2 linked regions of the Saccharomyces cerevisiae S288C genome follow. The protein of the gene in region 1 binds, or shares a complex with, the protein of each later gene. Each region holds a gene or a part of one and is shown in the gene's direction. Other genes may lie near its edges.

Region 1 (8,290 bases):
AAAGAAGGAATTGTTTATATATATTAATATCTTATTTGGGGATTAATATAATATATAAGTTTTGGATACCAGGCCAAAGACCGGAATCCCAAAAGGAGATTATATAAATATTATTTATCTCCCTTTTTTAATATTATAATAATTTTATTAAAAATAAAATAATAATAATAATTATAATTTATAATAACAATTATAATAATTTAATTAATTAATTAATTAATTAATTAATTAATTAATTAATTAATAATAAATATAAATATAAAAAGAATATAATTTATAATAAATAAATTTATATATATATATATATATTAAATAAAATATTTACTTCATTAATATAAAATATAAATATATTTAATTAATAAGTATATATATATAATAATATATAATAACCTATTTATATATATAATCTTAATATAATTATAAGAAATATTATATAAGTAATATATAAAAATAATATAAAATAATTATAATTCAATTTATATATTAATAGTTCCGGGGCCCGGCCACGGGAGCCGGAACCCCGAAAGGAGGAATAAGATAAATATATAAATTATATTAATAAATATAAATTTTAAATGAATTAATAAAATTAATATATATATGTATATATATATATATATTAAAAATATTTAATTATTTTTAGGAAGGAGTGATAGATCCCTTTGGGGGACCGAACCCCTATTTAAGAAGGAGTGCGGGACCCCGTGGGAACCGAACCCCTTTTTTATTTAAAGAAGAAGTTTTATTTTATTTTATTTTATTTTATTTTATTTTATTTTATTTTATTTTATTTTATTTTATTTAATTTAATTTTAATTAGGTTAATAAATAGTAATAATAAACTTAATAATAATAATAATAATTTTATTTTTATAATTTATTAATAATAATAATAATTATATATATATATATTATTAATAAATATAGACCTTATCGTCTAATGGTTACGACATCACCTCTTCATGTTGATAATATCGGTTCGATTCCGATTAAGGTTATTCATAATAATAAATATTTGTAAAAAAAGTATATATAATTAAACATATTCTTTATATTAATTAATAATTATTAATAATATACATTTTATATAATACAATTATATATATATATATATTTTTTTTTAATACAAATAATATATTCATAATAATAAATACCGATTGTTATTATACTATAATAAAATATATAATATATTTTTCATTATAATATTTTTAAATAAATATTATAATAAATTATATAAATAATATTTATGTATAATAATAATAATAATAATTGTTATTAATTAATTCTATAATTATTATATATTTAATTTTTTTTTTTAATATAATATATAATAATATAATTTATTTTATTTTTTTTTATAGTTCCGGGGCCCGGTCACGGGAGCCGGAACCCCGAAAGGAGAATATAAATTAATAATAATATAAATAACATATTAACAATAAATTATTGTTAATATAATAATAATAATAACAATATTAATAAATAATATAAAAATTATTAATATTATATTTATATAATATTAATATAAAAATCTTTCATAATATTAATTATTATTAAATAATAATGATATCATTAATATTAATATAATCGTCAATATTATTTATTTATTTATTTATTTATTTATTTATTTATTTATTTATTATTAAATAAATATTTTTAAATATTATATTATATTATTAACTTTTTATTAAAAAAATTAATAATGATATAATATAATTAATATTATCCACGGGACCAATGACCAACCCAGTAGTTGACCGGATTGGCGCCCGCGAGGTTTATATTTAATAAATAATAATAATAATATTAATAAAATCTATTAACTTTTTTTTTTAATGGATTATATTAATGAAAAAAAAATGAGAAATATCTTTTTTTTTTAATAATTATAATTTATATATAATAAAATATGTATATATAATAAAAAAATAGTTTTTAATATTATAATATAATTATATATATAATTATAAATATATATATATATAATAAGTATTAATTAATAATATATATTTATATATTTTTTATTAATTAATATATATAAAATATTAGTAATAAATAATATTATTAATATTTTATAAATAAATAATAATAATATGGCATTTAGAAAATCAAATGTGTATTTAAGTTTAGTGAATAGTTATATTATTGATTCACCACAACCATCATCAATTAATTATTGATGAAATATGGGTTCATTATTAGGTTTATGTTTAGTTATTCAAATTGTAACAGGTATTTTTATGGCTATGCATTATTCATCTAATATTGAATTAGCTTTTTCATCTGTTGAACATATTATAAGAGATGTGCATAATGGTTATATTTTAAGATATTTACATGCAAATGGTGCATCATTCTTTTTTATGGTAATGTTTATGCATATGGCTAAAGGTTTATATTATGGTTCATATAGATCACCAAGAGTACTATTATGAAATGTAGGTGTTATTATTTTCATTTTAACTATTGCTACAGCTTTTTTAGGTTATTGTTGTGTTTATGGACAGAGTGAGACAAGTATAAGTATATTATTATAATATCATACCATTAAATAAATTATTTTAATGAAATGATTATGTTTATATATAACATATACCTAATTAGACATGCATTATTAGTAATAATTTTGTATGAAACTCTAATAATAATAATTATTATTAATTATTAAGGTAAGATTCATATGGATAGCGTAAGTCAATCTAATATTATAAAATATCGTAACATAAACAATATTTTTTTCTATTATTAATTAATAAATAATAATAAATAAAAATAATTATATGAGAAGTAAGATATTCAATTCTGTCTAGAATACATATATATACGTTAATACTCATCGGTATAAAATTAGAATCCTAAGTGAATTATTGAAAGTATAATAATATAAACTTGGTAAGCCCAATTATTTCCATATAATATTAATATAAATATTATATGGTAGTTATATATAATATTATTAAATAAATAATAATAGAAATTATAATATAGATAAGTGGGTAAAAGACTATTGAAAAAGCTAAAGATTATATGTAATGTATAATATAGATCAAATTATTTATATATTTTAATAAAAATATATTAATAATGGTTAATATTATTATTAATTAATTAATTAATTAATTAATAATAATAACGAATAAATGATTAATGTGAAAGCATGCTAACTTCAATATAGGATGATTTATATAGTATATAAATTGTTTGAGCTGTATACTATGAAAGTAGTACGTACAGTTCTGAGTGGGGGAAAATTTGTAAAGATCTACCTATCACAATTGTCACATTGAGGTAATATAAATATCGCCTCAAATATATTTAATATAATAAAACTAATTTATATAATAATGTTAATATTATTAATTTATATTTTTTATACGATTATAATAAGACAAATAATAAAAACTAAAGAATATCTTATATTAATTAAGAGTATAGATTATATTAATAAAAATAAATATATAATTAATTTAAATATAACAAATAAGAAAGATATAAATAATAATATTGGTCCATTAAATATAAACATTTTATCAATTATTTATGGTTCAATATTAGGAGATGGTCATGCTGAAAAAAGAAAAGGTGGTAAAGGAACAAGAATTGTATTTCAACAAGAATATTGTAATATTAATTATTTATATTATTTACATAGTTTATTAGCTAATTTAGGTTATTGTAATACTAATTTACCTTTAATTAAAACTAGATTAGGTAAAAAAGGTAAAATTAGACAATATTTAAAATTTAATACATGAACTTATGATTCATTTAATATGATTTATTCAGAATGGTATATTAAAAATATATCTGGAAAAGGTAATATTAAAGTTATTCCTAAATCTTTAGACAATTATTTAACTCCTTTAGCTTTAGCTATTTGAATTATAGATGATGGATGTAAATTAGGTAAAGGTTTAAAATTCACAACTAATTGTTTTAGTTATAAAGATGTTCAATATTTACTTTATTTATTACATAATAAATATAATATTAAATCTACTATTCTTAAAGGCAATAAAGAAAATACACAATTTGTTATTTATGTATGAAAAGAATCTATACCTATTTTAACTAAAATTGTATCTCCTTATATTATTCCTAGTATAAAATATAAATTAGGTAATTATTTATAATAAAATATATAGTATTATATTAATTATTATATTATTATAATGCGATATTATTGAAAACATGTCAAAATTATATTATTAAGTAACAAGACAGTGGGTTATATAATTATATGATCCCAACAGAATACACCAATAATAGGTATTATTATAAAAAAAATAATAATATTTAATGTTTATTCGAAGAAAATTTATAATATTATTATTATAACACAAGGTTTAATAATCTATATATATATATTATATATATAACTACTGTTATTATTCCATTTACCTAATTAATATATAAATAATGAATTATAATTATTATGATTAATATTTTTATAATAATAACCCCATCATAACATTTATATATAACATTTATATATAACATTTATATATAATATTTATATTATGGTATTATTAGGTATAAATATTTATTCATAAGAGAAAATAGTGATTAAATGGAATTATAAAAAGGGTAGATATTATTAAATACAGGGTATTATTTATATTAATAAATCAATAAATATTGAGATTATTATTATTAAAAAATAATAATAATTTATAAATAATATTATTTTCTTGGCACTAGTTATTACTAATTTATTCTCAGCAATTCCATTTGTAGGTAACGATATTGTATCTTGATTATGAGGTGGGTTTAATATAGAGGATCCATATTATAGTAATATAATATTAAATAAATCTGTTTTATGCTGAAATATCTTCATTTGAATAATAAATTACTATATTATTCAATTAATTATTTATAATAATATAATTTGAAATAAAAATAATATAGTTAAAATATTTATTATAAGAAGAAAATTAGCAGTAATTAATATATATATATATATAAAATTAATTATTCAGAGACTTTATAGTTATTATATAAATAATACTATTATTTATGATAAAAATCATAAATTAAACACAGATAATCCTATTTATGCATATATTGGTGGTTTATTTGAAGGAGATGGTTGAATTACTATTTCAAAAAAAGGTAAATATTTATTATATGAATTAGGTATTGAAATACATATTAGAGATATTCAATTATTATATAAAATTAAAAATATTTTAGGTATTGGTAAAGTAACAATTAAAAAATTAAAAATAAAAGATGGTACTATTAAAGAAATATGTAAATTTAATGTAAGAAATAAAAATCATTTAAAGAATATTATTATTCCTATTTTTGATAAATATCCTATATTAACTAATAAACATTATGATTATTTATATTTTAAAGATAATTTATTAAAAGATATTAAATATTATAATGATTTATCTTATTATTTACGTCCTATTAAACCATTTAATACTCTTGAAGATATTTTAAATAAAAATTATTTTTCTTCATGATTAATTGGTTTTTTTGAAGCTGAAAGTTGTTTTAGTATTTATAAACCTATAAATAAAAAAATAAAACTTGCTAGTTTTGAAGTATCTCAAAATAATAGTATAGAAGTTATATTAGCTATTAAATCATATTTAAAAATTACTCAAAATATTTATACAGATAAATTTAATAATTCAAGAATAACACTTAAAAGTATTAATGGTATTAAAAATGTTGTAATATTTATTAATAATAACCCTATTAAATTATTAGGTTATAAAAAATTACAATATTTATTATTCTTAAAAGATTTACGTCTTATTCTTAAATATAATAATTATTTTAAAATTCCTCCTAAATATTAATCTTATATAAAAATATAATAATAATATATTTATATATTATATAATTATATAAACAAAATATAATTTATATATAATTATTTATTATAAATATAGTCCGGCCCGCCCCGCGGGGCGGACCCCGGAGGAGTGAGGGACCCCTCCCTATTCTAACGGGAGGGGGACCGAACCCCGAAGGAGTTTAATTATATATTAAATATATTATTATCAATAAATAATTCCTTTGAACTATTTATTATTTTATTATATTTATTTTCTCCTTCATTATTAATTTTTATTAATAATTAAAATCTTATCATTTTATGGTATTTTTATTTCTATTTTAGGATATCGAAACTATAAATTAAAAAGTATAATTTTATTAATTATAATTTATGATTAATAAATAAGAAATAAAAACTTTAGAAGTAATATTTATCTTTTTTTTTTATAAATAAATATTATGATTAATATATAATCATTTATAAATATTTATATATAATTATATATATACATAAATAGGATTAAGATATAGTCCGAACAATATAGTGATATATTGATAATAGTTTTCAAATATGTAACTATTTAAACATTAAAAGCTCAGTATCTAACCCTCTAATCCAGAGATTCTTTGCGTTACATTATTTAGTACCTTTTATCATTGCTGCAATGGTTATTATGCATTTAATGGCATTACATATTCATGGTTCATCTAATCCATTAGGTATTACAGGTAATTTAGATAGAATTCCAATGCATTCATACTTTATTTTTAAAGATTTAGTAACTGTTTTCTTATTTATGTTAATTTTAGCATTATTTGTATTCTATTCACCTAATACTTTAGGTCAAAATATGGCCTTATTATTAATTACATATGTAATTAATATTTTATGTGCTGTATGCTGGAAATCTTTATTTATTAAATATCAATGAAAAATTTATAATAAAACTCTATATTATTTTATTATTCAAAATATTTTAAATACAAAACAATTAAATAATTTCGTATTAAAATTTAATTGAACAAAGCAATATAATAAAATAAATATTGTAAGTGATTTATTTAATCCCAATAGAGTAAAATATTATTATAAAGAAGATAATCAGCAGGTAACCAATATAAATTCTTCTAATACTCACTTAACGAGTAATAAAAAGAATTTATTAGTAGATACTTCAGAGACTACACGCACACTAAAAAATAAATTTAATTATTTATTAAATATTTTTAATATAAAAAAAATAAATCAAATTATTCTTAAAAGACATTATAGTATTTATAAAGATAGTAATATTAGATTTAACCAATGATTGGCCGGTTTAATTGACGGAGATGGTTATTTTTGTATTACTAAAAATAAATATGCATCTTGTGAAATTCTTGTAGAATTAAAAGATGAAAAAATGTTAAGACAAATCCAAGATAAATTTGGTGGTTCTGTAAAATTAAGATCAGGTGTTAAGGCTATTAGATATAGATTACAAAATAAAGAAGGTATAATTAAATTAATTAATGCCGTTAATGGTAATATTCGTAATAGTAAAAGATTAGTACAATTTAATAAAGTATGTATTTTATTAAATATCGATTTTAAAGAACCTATTAAATTAACTAAAGATAATGCTTGATTTATAGGGTTCTTTGATGCTGATGGTACTATTAATTATTATTATTCCGGTAAATTAAAAATTAGACCTCAATTAACTATTAGCGTTACAAATAAATATTTACATGATGTTGAATACTATAGAGAAGTATTTGGTGGTAATATTTATTTTGATAAAGCTAAAAATGGTTATTTTAAATGATCTATTAATAATAAAGAATTACATAATATTTTTTATCTTTATAATAAAAGTTGTCCTTCTAAATCTAATAAAGGTAAACGTTTATTTTTAATTGATAAATTTTATTATTTATATGATTTATTAGCTTTTAAAGCACCTCATAATACTGCTTTATATAAAGCTTGATTAAAATTTAATGAAAAATGAAATAATAATTAAATTTTCTCCGTATTCATTATTATATTATCTAATTTATAAAATATTTAAAGATTCCTTATAATAATATAACATCTTTGTAAATTATTGTTAAAGATAATATAAATTATTATGAATCGGTAGATTATATTTTTACAATCTTATTAAATAAAATTCTGATCATTAAACATGATTGAAGAAATAATAATAGTTTATGAAATAAGATAGTGTAATATAAATTTTTATGAAGATATAGTCCATTTTATATTTATTATAAAAGCATCCTGATAACTATATTCCTGGTAATCCTTTAGTAACACCAGCATCTATTGATATTAAAAATATTAATAAAATTATTATTATTTAATCTTATTTATTTTATATAAAAAAAATAAATAATAATTATTAATAAAAATATATTATTTATTTCTCCTTTCGGGGTTATTTATATATATTCCTTTATAATTTATATTTAATATATTATATTAAATATATGAAAAATTATAATA
Region 2 (2,724 bases), on another chromosome or scaffold:
TTACTGTGTATAGGCGAGAAGACTACTTTAGCCAGAGTGCCTCCTATATCAATAGCAAGGTTGAAAGTATTGTCGCCATAATCGCAATTGTAAGATATCTCTTGAGTAATTCGCGGCATTGCGATTCTTTTCGCATGCACTCAATTGGAACTATAAATTTCTTTATTCTGGTAGTTTTTTAGTTTTAATGATCAATCTGTTCAGAAACATAAGTTCTTTTTACTCATCGTTATGTTGGTGAAATAAAATTTCGGCCGATATTGGGGGAACTGCGCTAGTCGTTTAACGTCATGTAAGATTCCTAAGTGGAACAGTCAGAAGTAAAAAAAAAAAAATCGGTCCCGGCAATTACAAACTAAAGGAGCTCAATGCGTAGATCGCGGATAGTTCTCCGCATTTGAGTGAAACTTTTTGAGATACTGTCGTAAATACGCAATCATGAACGACCATATGAATAATACTCGATCATACCAACGTCACGTGTAAAGCTTTTGCCTGTTTCGAAAATGTGTTGAACTATTGAAATATAATAAAATTAAAAGGCAACCGAGCCCCTGGGTCAGAGAAAATAGGAAGACAAAGATGATTGAAGAGAATTTGAAACAGAAAATCCACGATAAGTTCGTTGCAGCCAAAAAGAATGGGCATCTGAAAGTAACGCATGCAGAATCCAAGAAGTTGAAAGATCCTCAAACGACGACACAATATTGGGTGACATTTGCTCCATCTTTGGCACTTAAGCCAGACGCTAACAAGAATAGCGATTCAAAGGCGGAGGACCCGTTCGCCAATCCCGACGAAGAACTAGTGGTGACTGAAGATCTAAATGGTGACGGAGAATATAAGCTGCTACTCAACAAATTTCCTGTGGTCCCTGAACATAGTCTCCTAGTGACAAGCGAGTTTAAAGACCAGAGATCTGCTTTGACGCCAAGTGACTTGATGACTGCTTATAATGTGCTCTGTTCTCTCCAAGGAGACAAGGACGATGATGTCACTTGTGAAAGGTATCTGGTCTTTTATAATTGTGGACCTCATAGCGGTTCCTCACAAGATCACAAACACTTGCAGATCATGCAAATGCCTGAAAAATTTATACCTTTTCAGGACGTATTGTGCAACGGAAAGGATCATTTCTTGCCCACCTTCAACGCAGAGCCATTACAAGATGATAAGGTTTCCTTTGCTCATTTCGTCTTGCCGCTGCCGGAATCGTCTGATCAAGTGGACGAAGATCTTCTTGCTATGTGTTACGTATCTTTGATGCAGAGAGCACTTACATTTTTCCAAGATTGGACCAATGAGTCTCCGGAGTTGACCAAGTCATACAATGTGCTACTGACCAAGAAATGGATCTGTGTAGTTCCAAGATCGCATGCCAAGAGTGGACCGCCATTGATGTTAAACATTAACTCCACGGGGTACTGTGGTATGATCCTCGTTAAAGACAGAGAAAAACTAGAGAACCTCACTGAAGATCCTCATCTTGTGGACAAGTCGTTACTGCAATGCGGTTTCCCCAACACAGCAGGCCAAAAACCAACAGAGTATCACTATTAAGGTCTATTAGCCATATGTACATTGTCTATAGATGTGTAACTGCGCTGTGATCTTGTTTTGACCAATCAGGAGCGACGCGCTTTTTATCGGGTCACCCCGGCGGGGGGCCTGACAATTTACTTTCATAGAGCAGTAATAAAAGGGAAGAGATGTAAAAGCTTGGAAAAATAGCAGTAAAGGTTGTTGTTGGACAATTTATCAGAATATTAGTAACTGTAATTAAACGTTCCAGAAAGAACAAAATGCCACAGTCTTTTACGTCTATTGCGAGAATTGGTGACTATATTTTGAAGTCACCCGTCCTCTCCAAGTTATGTGTTCCAGTTGCCAATCAGTTCATTAACCTCGCAGGTTACAAGAAGTTAGGGCTCAAATTTGACGACTTAATTGCAGAGGAAAATCCCATCATGCAGACCGCTTTAAGAAGACTCCCTGAAGATGAATCTTATGCCAGAGCATATAGAATAATCAGGGCTCATCAAACCGAGTTGACTCATCATTTACTGCCAAGAAACGAATGGATCAAAGCCCAAGAGGATGTTCCTTACCTGTTGCCATACATATTAGAAGCTGAAGCTGCAGCTAAGGAGAAGGACGAGTTAGACAACATAGAGGTCTCCAAATGAAAAGAAGAATAAAAAAATCACCACGAACACACAACCCGAAAAAAAAAAGGCATTAAATATTCATTTGAAAGAAGGGACAGAGACTAAATCATATCCTTTATTATCTCTCTATATATATATAAGCGTTTGCTTGAAACGTTTACTTCATATTATTTATTTATCTATAGTCTGAACTTAAAATTTTATTATGAAATTCGTATATTGTAATGTCTAGTGTTATAAATCGGGTATCTATTAGTATTTATTTTTTCTATAATTATGCAGGTGATGGGGTATCGAGTGGTCTATATATCTTAAATTTATTCTACTATTTCCTAGTGCAGAATAACTTGGCGAAAATTTTGAACTTTCTATTCTTCTTAAAAGATTTTTCTTCATACTGAGTTGAACTGTGCTTACTATCCTTGTTAATGGGAGCAGATTTTTGTTTCGTCGGCAAAATGACACTTTTATCAGATCCACTAGTTTCGTTGTATACGTGGAGGGGTTCTCCTCGTAGTATTTCTTCCGGAATACTCTCTTCTTCTTCGTCGTCTGT

What was found.
Region 2: the proteins of COB (region 1) and QCR7 are in contact, whole or in part, in a cryo-EM structure (PDB 6T15), measured with the Saccharomyces cerevisiae proteins. Residues at the interface, in NP_009315.1 of Saccharomyces cerevisiae: Ser24 (codon at 2,163), Ser25 (codon at 2,166), Asn27 (codon at 2,172), Arg107 (codon at 2,412), Ser108 (codon at 2,415), Pro109 (codon at 2,418), Asn208 (codon at 6,510), Pro209 (codon at 6,513), Leu210 (codon at 6,516), Ile212 (codon at 6,522), Thr213 (codon at 6,525), Gly214 (codon at 6,528), Asn215 (codon at 6,531), Leu216 (codon at 6,534), Asp217 (codon at 6,537), Asp309, Arg310, Ser311, Val312, Val313, Arg314, Phe318, Val320, Thr372, Glu374, Asn375, Val376, Leu377, Phe378, Tyr379; in NP_010818.1 of Saccharomyces cerevisiae: Pro2 (codon at 1,806), Gln3 (codon at 1,809), Phe5 (codon at 1,815), Ile8 (codon at 1,824), Ala9 (codon at 1,827), Ile11 (codon at 1,833), Gly12 (codon at 1,836), Asp13 (codon at 1,839), Ile15 (codon at 1,845), Leu16 (codon at 1,848), Cys25 (codon at 1,875), Val26 (codon at 1,878), Val28 (codon at 1,884), Ala29 (codon at 1,887), Asn30 (codon at 1,890), Phe32 (codon at 1,896), Ile33 (codon at 1,899), Leu35 (codon at 1,905), Ala36 (codon at 1,908), Gly37 (codon at 1,911), Tyr38 (codon at 1,914), Leu41 (codon at 1,923), Leu43 (codon at 1,929), Phe45 (codon at 1,935), Asp46 (codon at 1,938), Asp47 (codon at 1,941), Leu48 (codon at 1,944), Ile49 (codon at 1,947), Ala50 (codon at 1,950), Glu51 (codon at 1,953).

The regions. Positions count from the first base shown.
Region 1 is NC_001224.1:34,447-42,736, forward strand, and holds the start of COB (cytochrome b), read left to right. Parts: upstream 1-2,093; coding exon 2,094-2,508; intron 2,509-3,276; coding exon 3,277-3,290; coding exon of another isoform or gene 3,291-4,133; intron 4,134-4,694; coding exon 4,695-4,771; coding exon of another isoform or gene 4,772-5,819; intron 5,820-6,394; coding exon 6,395-6,644; coding exon of another isoform or gene 6,645-7,805; intron 7,806-8,061; coding exon 8,062-8,112; intron 8,113-8,290. Other genes in the region: intron-encoded RNA maturase bI4, read left to right, coding at 2,094-2,508, 3,277-3,290, 4,695-4,771, 6,395-7,805; cytochrome b mRNA maturase bI3, read left to right, coding at 2,094-2,508, 3,277-3,290, 4,695-5,819; cytochrome b mRNA maturase bI2, read left to right, coding at 2,094-2,508, 3,277-4,133. UniProt on the Saccharomyces cerevisiae protein: Component of the ubiquinol-cytochrome c oxidoreductase, a multisubunit transmembrane complex that is part of the mitochondrial electron transport chain which drives oxidative phosphorylation.
Region 2 is NC_001136.10:1,495,627-1,498,350, reverse strand, and holds QCR7 (ubiquinol--cytochrome-c reductase subunit 7), read left to right. Parts: upstream 1-1,802; coding exon 1,803-2,186; downstream 2,187-2,724. Other genes in the region: CAB1 (pantothenate kinase), read right to left, coding at 1-119; APA2 (bifunctional AP-4-A phosphorylase/ADP sulfurylase), read left to right, coding at 583-1,560; HLR1 (Hlr1p), read right to left, coding at 2,494-2,724. UniProt on the Saccharomyces cerevisiae protein: Component of the ubiquinol-cytochrome c oxidoreductase, a multisubunit transmembrane complex that is part of the mitochondrial electron transport chain which drives oxidative phosphorylation.